Linked DNA regions of Diceros bicornis minor. The protein of the gene in region 2 purifies or fractionates together with the protein of the main gene of each other region. This does not show direct contact. Links are inferred from orthologs where the notes say so. Each region holds a gene or a part of one and is shown on either strand. Other genes may lie near its edges.

Region 1 (3,745 bases), on a different chromosome or scaffold from region 2:
AGATACCCCCTAATCCCCTAGGCTGTATCCCACCATTGTACTACCCCCTCCAAATTCTTTCCTCACTTTCAGGAGACTCACCACTATTTTGGAGAGATCGATGGGGGGCTCCAGGATTTTCGGAGGGGCCGGAGGAGGCACAGGTAGAGGGACAGCTGGCTCTGGCTCAGGCTTGGGCTTGGCTGTAGGGGCCCCTACTGCTGCTGGTTTGGGAGCAGGCTTGGAGACAGCGGGCCCTGCTGGTTTCTTCACAGGAATATCCTTCTTGGGAGGCATGATGTCCAGTGGCCAAAGGACAGTGTGCCGATCGGGGCACCCATCTCTGTTTAAATAGCCAGGGAGTCTGGGATGTCAAGGGGCGGGGGCAGGGGCAGGGAGCCAGTTGGCGGTGGGAAGGGTGAGATAAGAGGAGAGATATGCTGGCCTGCCCTCACTCCCCTGGCCTCCTGTGGTTCAGGACTCCTGTCCCAAGGTCTTCTCCCTTCTGTCCACCCCGCCCCAAATGCTGGCCAGAACAATGGCCCCTTTGGGGGGAAGGAGAGGAAGCCAGAGACTGCCTGTAATGGGGGAGTTCACCTCTGGGGTGAGGATAGGATGCTTGCCACTGACAGACACTGAGACAGAGGTGAAGCAAAGAAGGGGATTCAGGCATGCCAGGCTCTCAACTCCCTGACTCAGAGTAGCCCTTTTTTGCTAGCAGCCTTAGACTCTTCATGGTCGAGGCAGGGAGGGGACCTTGTGAACTGGGATTGTTAAAGTGGGGTCTGGGAGCAGTGAAACATGAAAAAAACAAGCAGCCCCTCCATTCCCCTCTGACCATAGATGAGGAGCGGGGGTAGCTGACCACTTATAGTCCCTGTCCCCCTCCCTCCCAGCCCAGGACTGGAACTATGCACAACAGAGAAAGAATAATAATAGAAAGACGAGTGTGACCCCCCCATTGTCTCCTGTGCCCAGTGTTGTTTTAGGGGTGGGGGTGGGGGCAAAGGTTGGATCGGGCTTAACCCCCACCACCCATACTCCCAGGGAAGGAACCCTTTTCCACAGGCCCGTGGTCATTCAAGTCGGACAAAGGCAGGGTGCCTGCTGAACCTGCAGGGACTCCGTGGTGACACCTGGGGGGGAAGGGCAGGCTCTGAGAGGCGAACGGCCTAAATTCTAAAACCTCTAATCCAAAAGGATGTGGGAGGTTCCATGGGCTCCATGAGTACTCATCCCCCAGTCAGAGGGATAACAAAAACCCTGACTTGGCTGCCAGGTAACAAACCTCACTGGGGCGCTGGGGAAGGGTCGGAGTGGGGGCCTTTGGCAGAGGGGAGGGGTTGCTGGCTACTTTTGTTGGGGGGAGGGGGAGAAGGAGAGGATTTAAATAGCATTCTGAAGAAGACAGCCGTGATTCTACCTAGGCCCTGGGGTTCAGAGAGTTGATGCTGGGTCTCCCACCCGCAAAAAAGCGTCTGAATCTCATTACTGCAAATTGTCCCATTTTAGGAAAATCAGAATCATCTCTCCCGCCGAGAGTACATCACACACACACACACACACACACACACACACACACCTAAGTCTTAAATTAAGGAAAGAGTCCCTCCCCAGCTCCCTAAAACTCACCCTGCAGGGTCCAGGTAAGGGGCGGAGGCGGGGCGCAGGGCGGCCGCGGGCCCTGAAGGGTTAACTCCGGCGGCCTCGGAGCATGCCGGGAGTCGTAGTCCCCGCGCGCCCGCGGGCTCACGGGAAACGCCGCTCTCCAGCTCCAAGCGGAAGCCGGGGCTGTGGCTACCGGCCGGTGGCGCCGGTTGGTGACTCAGGCTCTTTCGGGCCCGATTCTTGTCCTGGAACTGAAAGGCAATGAGCGATTTACAATCCCCACCCCTCACCCTGAAACCGCGCGCGGCCCTTCAGGGTATCTCCGTTGCTTGGCCCCGAGTTCCCCGTTTAGTGTGGGCGGGGATATTTTCCTGCATCCACTGGTGAGAGAACTCAGAACCAGGGGAAAGACTGAAGCTGCAGCTGCCGCAGGCCGGATAGAGGTCAGATAGAAGGAAGCACTTACTGCCCCGGGGAGAGTGGTGCCGTCTCTTTAGCTTCCTCTTGCGGTTTGGTGGAGGGAGAACAGAGGCCGTTGAGTTGCTGTCTGACTTGGAACAGTAACTCCAAAGTTGTTTTTATTTTTTTTTAATTGAGCTGGTCGTTGAAGTAAATGTTAAGATTTGGAATTAAGCCCGATCACCTGCCCCACTCTCTCCAAGTGGAAGCTTCTCCATACCGCGGCCACACGTGCGCCAGCCACCTCGTCCAGTCCTCACAGGTCTCGTTGGAACAGAGGGCTGGGCTCACCAGCCTTTCACTCTGAGACTTCTTTGGACCTCCCATTCCCCCAGACGTTTACCAGGGGTCTCCTCTGTGCTAGGAGGGAACCAGCCCAGCCAGGCCCACCTGCACGATCTGGATCAGGAAACGCCCCGGCGGTGACTCTCCTGCTGGAGGCTGAGGCTTCACAGGGGGTGGGGAGGGGTGGGGCGCAGGCATTGGATCAGGGTGGGAAACCCGCGGGGGCTCAGGAGGGTGAGGCATGAGGGAAAAAAGGGCTACTCTGAGTCAGGGAGCAGTAAGTGATGTTCGCTGGCTGGAGAAAGCTTCTCCGAAGAGTAGAAATGGGTCGTAAAACAGAAATAACAGTGATGATGAACAGGCGGTCATCAGCAACCATCCCGGAGGCCTCCCCAGAGCAGGGGCTGCCTGGAGGGCTAAGTCATCTCAGAGAGGCAGCCCAGTGGTGCTCGAGTGGGGCTCAGACCTGCCTGCTTCAATTCTAATCCAGCTTCTGCCAGATGTTTACTGGAAACCTCCAGCAAGTTTAGTTATTTTTCTGTGCCTCAGTTTCCCCATCTGTAAAATAAAGGTAATAGTACCTACCTCACAGGCCTGTGGAGAGGATTAGACGTGTTAATACTTGTAAAACAAAGTGGGCCTGGCACAGAGTAAGTGGTATATAGGTGTTAAATAAATTTCTTTTGGTCTTCCCAACATGTGAGGTAGTTGGTATTTTCCCCATTTTACATCCATCAAGGATCACTAGGCGTGAAGAGATGGAGAGCAAGAAGGAATACATTTCTCCTAAGTGTTTCGTTACAGGACTGTTTGGAGAAGGGCCACATCACAAATGACTTTTTGTGTCTTTCATCACTTCCACAAAAGTTGATTTCGAAGATGTGGTTTATCTGATTTTTTGCCTCCGCTTTTCCTCTAGCCAGAGCGCACTTGTGGCACTTTGCCAAGTAGAAGTGGTTATGGCGTCATCTGACTTTCTAGCATTTTTGTCTGCTTCAGAGAGAAGTAGTGCAAGGAGAAAAGATGAAGACCTTTGGCAAACGTGGGTTGGAGGACTGTCCTTCATCTTTTGTACTGTCTCTTTATTTTAATAGTAAATAATGCACACTGGACTGAACACCGTGTTAACTGAGCATAGGTGATTAATACATCGTGTATGTGGATTTTCTGCAACAAATGCCTGTTTCTCCTCTCTTCCTTCCCCACTTAGTATGTGACTTGTATGTTCTTAGGGATTGCATATTTATTCTAATATTAGTCTCAATATAAAATAATTAGGAAGGGCACATCTTTAAAAGAAAAAGAAAATGTGTACATTAAAAGCCTAAGAGAACAATTTTTGGAATTATACAGCCCTGTAGATCTTCAGTAGCTTGAATAATTATGGGTTCACCCAATACAGCTTAACTAGCTC
Region 2 (3,745 bases):
TGTTTGCTACATACCATCCCTTAAATAAAGTAATACAGCTTAAATTTTTTTTTGTAAAGGTACATTTCACTTCTAATATGGCTTAGCCCTAGTCAACGTCAGTGTCAAATATAGTATCAAAAAACTGACTGAATAGGCCAGGAACTGTGTTTCATGCCTAACACTCCCTTCACAGAGCCTAGCAGTGCCTCAGAGTAACAGAAACAGAAATAATGATACTGGCAGCTGGCACTTACTCAGCAGGGGCCAGGCACCTGTGAGGCACTTAACATCTAGCATCTTGTTTAATCCTCACAATGTCCCCTAGGGGCACCTCTCCTGGGGGCGATGAGCTATACCCTCAGGTTTTCCCCATAAGTGGTGAGGTGGGGATTTAAAGGAAGGATCCAGATCCCATAGTAGGCATTCAACAAGTATTTGACCAAACAAGCCAATACAAACAGTAGAGGTCCATAATCTGTAAGTACTATTAAATACACTAAATATATCCGTTGTGCTTATGTGTTAGTTATTTTAAAGTAAGAATATTACATACTGTGTGTGGTTAGATATTGAATTATCAGCAATTTGATTTTTTAAAAAACTAGTATTACTTCATATTCTAAGCATTATTGATTAAGCATTTTTAATTTTTAAAGGAAATTCAGATAATTTAAAATGTTCCTAAGACAAAGTGACGTGTTTAGCTAATTCATTATGCAAAAGGATCAAAAGTTCATTTAAACGACTTCACTGTTAAACCAGCTAATTAGACATTTTCCCCCACATCAAAGTAAAGCTGCCTTTTAAAAGGTTAAAAAAAAACCAAGTACCACACATATTCCTAAGTAGGTGAAACTAACAATTTTTAGTTATTTACATAGAACCATGAAGGGTTAATAATCCCTCACATTTGTCAGTCTGACAAATCCGACAGACCAGCATCTTTAATAAATAAGTTGTCTAACTGTCCTTCCTGCATCTGAATTAGTTAGAGAAACAATTTCAAACGTCTAACTTACAATGACCGAAAAAAGCTGAGAATTCACAAATTCACTGAGAGGCATAAAAGCACCATCAGTCCTAATGACAAGTTTGGGGACTATTAATCAAAAGGAACAGTGATGCCAGAACTCTTCCTTCGACTTTACAAGACTCAAAAAATGGACCAATTGCATTCTGAGTTTGATGAAACTGGTAGTAATTCCTGGAGCTTCCTTGTTAACGCCCAACTACTCGAGCAACGCTGAGACACACAATTTTGCTCGGATTACACTGAGATTCTTGTTTCTATGGGAGAAAAAAAGTGCATAAGACAAGTCTTGTCTTCCTCGAGGGCCTGTAACCACCACGGACAGGCATGAAAAGAAATGTCTTGAGTCACAGGGCAGCTCGGCTCCGGGAGCCTGTTCTGCTACATCCCATACCTAACCCATGAATCGAAAGGCAATTTCTTTCTTTTTTTTTCCTCAATGACCACACCACGTTCAGAGAACGTTCTCAATCACACCCAGCTTCTCGCAGTGAGAATCTTAGAAGTTTCTCCAGGGAAATAGCAAAAATGATCATTTAAAAAATCCTAAAAGTGGCGAAGCAGTACAAGTGGAAGACACCCCCCAGTAACTCAGTGAAGGGTCACCCAACCAGCCCGTGCAAATATTCGTCAAATATCACCGACCCGACCGGCGCCACCCTCGGACGCTCTCAGTGGGGCTCGAGAGGTTCATACAAAAACCAAGGAAGGGTCCTGATCCGTAACAAGGCGACGCTGCAAGCCCACTTAATCCACAGGCCGACGCGGGAGGGCGGCGGGGCGGCGCTGGGGGAGCTCGGCCTGGCCGGCGGTCAGCGGCGCGGGGAGCAGGCGGGAGGGTGGAGTTCACTTTTCCCTCCGGCCGCGACCGGTGGTGCCCTCCCCCACCGAAAAAAAAAAACCAGCGGGAACCAGGCCCGCGCCGCCCGAGCCCGGGGAGGGGTGGCGGCCTGCGCCCCCCGCCCCGCAGAGGCCCAGGCCCCACGCGAGCCCGTGGCGCGCGCCCGCCCGCCCGGCCCGACCCCCGGTCCTCCGGCCCCCGGCCCGGCCCCGCACTCACCCGTCTCCCACCACCACACACTTGATGGCCTGCATCTGGGCCGCTCGCTGGGCCGCGGCGGCGGCGGCCGGGCGCTGAGGCGAGAAGCGGCGGGCTCGGGGCGCGGCGGGCGGACGGGCGCGCGGCTGCGGGCGGCGGGGCGCGGGGTGCCGGGGCCGCGGTCCACGCCGCCTCGCCCTCCGCCGACGGGAAGCCGAAGCCCAGCAGCGGCCACCACCCAAAGCTGGGGAAAACTGCAGAGAAACAGGAAATGGCTGCTCCACTCACATCCGGCCTCCCCTCCCCCGCGCCGGCGCCGCCGCTCCCAGGCTCCGGGGCGGGGCCGCTCCCGCCCGCGCGGCTCCCGGGGTTCCTCTCGGCTTCGGGGACGCTCGGGAGCGCTCGGCTCCAGCCGCTGGGCGCGCCTCGGAGGGCGGCGGGGCGGGCCGGCCGCCATCTTTGCGCTCTGACAGACGCGGGCCCAGCCCGCCCCGGCCGGGCCTGGCGTCGGCCTTGGCAGGATCTCTGGGTTCCAGACACCCCGCTCCCCGCGTCCCCGACCAACTCCAGCCCGAGGCCATGCAAAGGGCGTTCACCTATATTTTTTATGTGAGAACCATAACTTATGTGATGACGAGGTCCTTCTAGAAAATTCGGAACCTAAAGCTATAAAAAAGAGAAGACCATACGCCATAGCATTATTCAGAGATAAGAGATGTTCATTCAGGAAAATTAATTGTCTTTACTGCGTTGAGCGTTTACATGTCCTGTTGCTTTGCGCCGAGTTCTGGAGATAATGTTTGTTCGCAGACCATTGAAATGCCGATATTTTGGTATATTTCCTCTCAGTTATTTCTTTATGTGCATAACAAACATGTTTTAAACAAAAGTAAGAAATCATGCTGAATCGTTACAACGTTTTTAATGGCTGCTTACTATTCGTTGCATTATGCACATGTACCTTAATTTAACCAATTCCTCTATTATTGGACAGTTGAATTGTCCCTATTTGAGAAGCAATGCTGGGATGAACAAGTTTATGCAAGAATCTTTATAGCTCTATTTCTTTAGACTACGTTTCCTACTGGGTTAATAGGCGTGAATGTTTCTAAAGCTTTTTATACGTGTTGCTGCATTGTCCTCCTGCAAGGTAATAACCAGTGCTCACTCCCATCAACTCTGTTAGCGAGTGGACCCTCCAGGGGAGTTGATTTCCCATGATGTTTTCATCTTGTAGGCCTTCTCTTCCTATAACGCGCTCTGTTGCTCAGTATTGTAACAATTTTCTGAAATCAGACCTTTTCCACACAAGTTTTTTTTTAAAAACATTTTTGTCTTGCAATTATTTCAAAATAAACATGTTCCCAGGGCAAAGGACACCTCCTTTTTGCTTTGTTCATAACGATCTCCCATAAAGAAGAGTTGAAATTTCAAGGATAGGAGAACAACAGTGTCCCCTTTGCTGATAGAAATTTCCAGTGACTCTATGACAAGCCTAAACTACTAAGTGTAGTTACTTTCATGTTTTTAGACCAGGAGCAAATAAAAGGGTGAGGCCTTGGGTCAATAATTTAATCCAACTGAACAAACATTTGAGTGCTGCTGTGGCGTAAGGGACTCATAGGAAATGAACGAGATGGGGACACAGTTGCCAGGATATCAGGCCCACTGTGCTCAGTGCTCTAAGTGGGGTA
Region 3 (3,745 bases), on a different chromosome or scaffold from region 2:
ATTTTACCTCCATGACCCCCCAAATTAACCAACCACAAAAAGGCTACGACCTCACTCCTAGGGCTGGGAATGTAGGGTTCCTGTCAGAGTGAGAGAAGCCTACAACTCTGGGTGGGAGGCAGACACTCAGCAGGGAGGCTAGTGGGGTGGGTGCTCTGGGTCTGGGCTCCAGACTGCTGTTACTCTCAAGCCTCTTACCTGGGCTGCTGCAGTTCCCAGACTGAGAATGCCACTCCAAGCATCATAGAGTGGGGGTGGGGGGTAGCCCCAAGTAGCCAGCTGGGGCCCTGACAAGCATCCAAATGCTTGGGGAGTGGCTGCTATGTGCCAGATACCATGCTAGGTGCTGGGGGGTGGGGGAGTAATGAGTAAGACTTTGTCAGCACCCTGCCCACCTCACCTGCCTCTTCCTGACCTGTATTCTGGACAAGGGGAAAAGGAGGTAGCCAGGGCACAGATGCCTGTGGGATGAGGACTGGGGATAGGAGCTGGGCAGTTCAACACAGATACACACCACTCCTCCCGGAGCCCAGTGGGCATCCAGAGGCTTCAGCCAAACAGTTAAATGCAATGGAGAAAAGATACCCTTGCTGATGCTGCCCTATGTCCCTCTGGCCCAGAATCAGGACAACAGACTTGGAGATGGGATGGTCCTCAAAACCATTTCTACTCCAACTTCTTTGCCTCACAGTTGAGGAAACTAAAGCCCAGAATGAGGCAAGTCTTGCCACGGGTCACAGAGTGAGCTGGAAACACAGGTAACACTAAAATCCAGGCTCCCCTGATAGGGTGACTGCTAAGCACCCCCCTCCCAGCCCTTCTTGCCCGCTCAGTGCTATGCCCACCCAGCAGAGGTGCAGAACATCCTGGGACAGACATGTAGAGGGCAAGCTCTCCTCTCAGCCCTGCCAACCCCAGACTTTCCTGTGGTTGGGAGAAGGGGATCATAGTTTCCAGCTAATTAGGGGTAAGAACACATATCCCCCAGATAGCTTCTTCAGAACCCTTTAGACCATGACATGCCCTGAGAGGAGGCCTCGGGGTCATAACCACCCACAGAGGACCAGGCCTCTGCCAGGCATCCACAGTGCCCAAACACTCTAGCTTGGAGCCATCAGAACCACCAGAGTGTCTGTGGGTCTTAACCTGTTGGGGTCCTGGGCCTGTGCAAAGGGTAGCTGGAAGTTATGGGCCCATAAAACAGCACCCCACACTCGCACACTTAATTGTGCCCACAGTCCCCCTGGAATTCAGAGACCCCCTGAGCCTGCCCAGATGTCTCCCACAGAGATGGCTCCTTTTCTAAAGACAGGATGGACAGGGGCCAGGGCTTCCTTCCCCAGGCCAGCTGCTGAGCCCCATCACTGGCAGTGTCCCCCCACATTAGAAGGGAGCAGCCTTTCAGGTCACTGCACCTCACTTCCTCAGCAGGTCAGGGGAGTTTCACATCAGCCTGGACCTGACTCTGCTGTGAAGGAGAAGGGAAACACCACTGTAAATACAGCCAGGAGGCAGGCCAGGAAGCCAGCTGGATCCCGGGAATCTAGGCACCCCTCAGCACTGCTCCCTACCCATTTCTGGCCAGACTGGGCTAGGGGACCGGGAGGGGTCTGTGCCCAGGCTGGGGCAATGCAAGCCCACCTTCCCAAGCAGGCCTTACTAGGGCACAGAAAAAGCCGAGTCTAGTTGCTGCCAGACACCAGGCGGCCTGGGGATGCCTCAGGGGAAGATGCCCAGGCTCATACTGGCCCTGAACACCAGGCCCTGCAAGGAGCCCCAGCCTTGGGAACCAGGGGCAGGGAGTCCTAGGAGTAGCCACCCTCTCATCTGCTCCCGAGGAAACAGTAGCCAGGCCCCCCTGGCCCATCCACCCAGCTCTCTGCCCCTTGCCCTCCGCCACCCCAGCGGGCGCGCAGACCATGCGAGCAGCAGGTGCAAGACGCGGGGGCGGCACTGAGATGACACAAAACCACACTCGCCCCCACCTCCTAAACCCTGCCGGCCTCCGCCACAGCCCTCCCGCCCCCCCCAGGCTGGCGCTTCCGTTTGGATACGGAGATAGGAGGGGGGGCAACTAGCTGCCCGCCTTCCTCAGACTGAAGGGTGGGAGGCGGCGCCGGGAATGTCCTTCTTCGCTCGTCCACGGACGCGAGGAAACAAGGGCCCCCCCCAGGCCGGCCCTCCCGCCAAGGACGCGGCTCCGCAGTGGCTCGGGCGGGGGCTGAGGCCGGAGGCCGCAGCCCCCAGGCCCGCCCCGCCCTCCGGCCCCGCACGGCGCTCCCGCCAGGCCCCGGCGCCCGCCCGGCGGCGGCCTCGGTGCGCGGTCCCGCCCCCGGCCCGGCCCGCTTACCCGGGGCGCTGCAGTCCGCACACACCTCCGCTCGCGGCCCCTTCCGGGACATCCTCAGCGGCGACGCGGCCGCAGCCCTCTGGGCCAGCGTGGGGGGCGCGGGCGCGGGCGGCGGGCCCGGGCGGCGGCGGCCCCTGCTGCCCGGCCCGCCTCGGCCCCGGCGAGGCTCCGCGCGCCCGGCCAACCGTCCGCCCCCGGGACTGGCCCGGGACCCGCCGTGCCCGCCTGCCCGCTCGCCCTCGGGCGCCCTCCGCCCCGCGCCGCCCCGCGCCGCCCCGCCGCCGCTCGCCGCTCGCCGCTCGCTCTCTCCGCCCCCTGCGCGGCTCGCGGCCGCTCCCGCAGGAAGCGGCGCAGGCCCTGCCCACCGGGGGAGGGGCAGCCTGCACACCCGCCCCTCCGCCGGGCCCCGCCGGCCGCGCCTCCCGGAGAAAGGAAGCCGGGAGCGCGGGCGGAGGGGCGGGGGCGCTTAAAGGGGCCGCGGCCGCGGCCGCCAGGCCCGAGCGGGCAGCGTCGCCTGCGGCCCTGGCCTCCGCTCCGGCGCTCCCCTGGCCTGGAGGCGGCGTGAGTCACCCTCACAGCCCCATCCCCTTCACTTTCGAGATGGAGAGTGGCCCACGGGGCTCGGGCCCAGGGTCAGTGACCCCTCGGAATCAGGGAAGAGAACAAGGAGCTGGAGGCCCAGGCCCCCCTCCTCGGCAAGGGGCTATGGTTTGGGTTACCCGCCTATCTTTGGTTGGGGTGAGATGTGCGTCCTCGTGCCCCATGTGTCCACATCTGAGTGTCCAGGTGTGTGTGCGGTCACACCCTTGCTGATTAAGCACACTACCAACAATATGGACGCCCAAATGCCAGAGAGGTCATGCAGTGTATCCCCCTGCCTCCGGGCTAAAAATACATCTATCCTTCCTTCATGCGTCCATCCAGAGAGGAAAGGATCTGGGCAGTTTTTAAAGGCCTCCCTCCCGAGGAATGACCACTGTGCCTATGTGCAGTAATATCCACTTGGCATTCTTCTTAAACACACCCACGTTGTTTCTGGGCCACCAGAGGTGTGTGTCCAGGGTGCGTGCACATAGTACACAGGGACCTTTTTTTGTGGTGGCCTTTCTTCCTGGACTTCACACGGAGACTCGGCAGAGGTGGGGGGGACAGGGAGCGGAGGCGCAGGCCGCACGTGGGTGCACCCCTGCACTGAGCATGCTCCCCTATACACGTGTGCCCCGCGTGCACCCAGCCCCCATCCCTGCAGCAGCAAAAGGCTAGAGCACTCTGCTTGTGGGGAGAGGACAGGGGTGCCCAGGACCAGGCCTGGGGGCCAGGTCAGTGGTGACACGATTAAGGGAGGGTTCCCAAGCAGCAGGGAGTCCTGTTCAGTAACAAAGTGGGAGGAGGGGA

Evidence for each region.
Region 1: the proteins of RAC1 (region 2) and MYL6B purify together in Homo sapiens (affinity purification with mass spectrometry; 3 studies listed by BioGRID and IntAct, with this or other methods). This does not show direct contact. The link is inferred for Diceros bicornis minor from reciprocal best matches to the Homo sapiens genes RAC1 and MYL6B.
Region 3: the proteins of RAC1 (region 2) and GIT1 purify together in Homo sapiens (affinity purification with mass spectrometry; 3 studies listed by BioGRID). This does not show direct contact. The link is inferred for Diceros bicornis minor from reciprocal best matches to the Homo sapiens genes RAC1 and GIT1.

Annotation. Positions count from the first base shown.
Region 1 is NC_080756.1:12,614,618-12,618,362, forward strand, and holds the start of MYL6B (myosin light chain 6B), read right to left. Parts: upstream 2,442-3,745; 5' UTR 2,054-2,441; intron 1,839-2,053; 5' UTR 1,612-1,838; intron 323-1,611; 5' UTR 277-322; coding exon 82-276; intron 1-81. UniProt on the Homo sapiens protein: Regulatory light chain of myosin. Does not bind calcium.
Region 2 is NC_080765.1:8,897,294-8,901,038, reverse strand, and holds the start of RAC1 (ras-related C3 botulinum toxin substrate 1), read right to left. Parts: upstream 2,294-3,745; 5' UTR 2,108-2,293; coding exon 2,073-2,107; intron 1-2,072. UniProt on the Homo sapiens protein: Plasma membrane-associated small GTPase which cycles between active GTP-bound and inactive GDP-bound states.
Region 3 is NC_080757.1:18,092,398-18,096,142, reverse strand, and holds the start of GIT1 (ARF GTPase-activating protein GIT1), read right to left. Parts: upstream 2,609-3,745; 5' UTR 2,403-2,608; coding exon 2,351-2,402; intron 1-2,350. UniProt on the Homo sapiens protein: GTPase-activating protein for ADP ribosylation factor family members, including ARF1.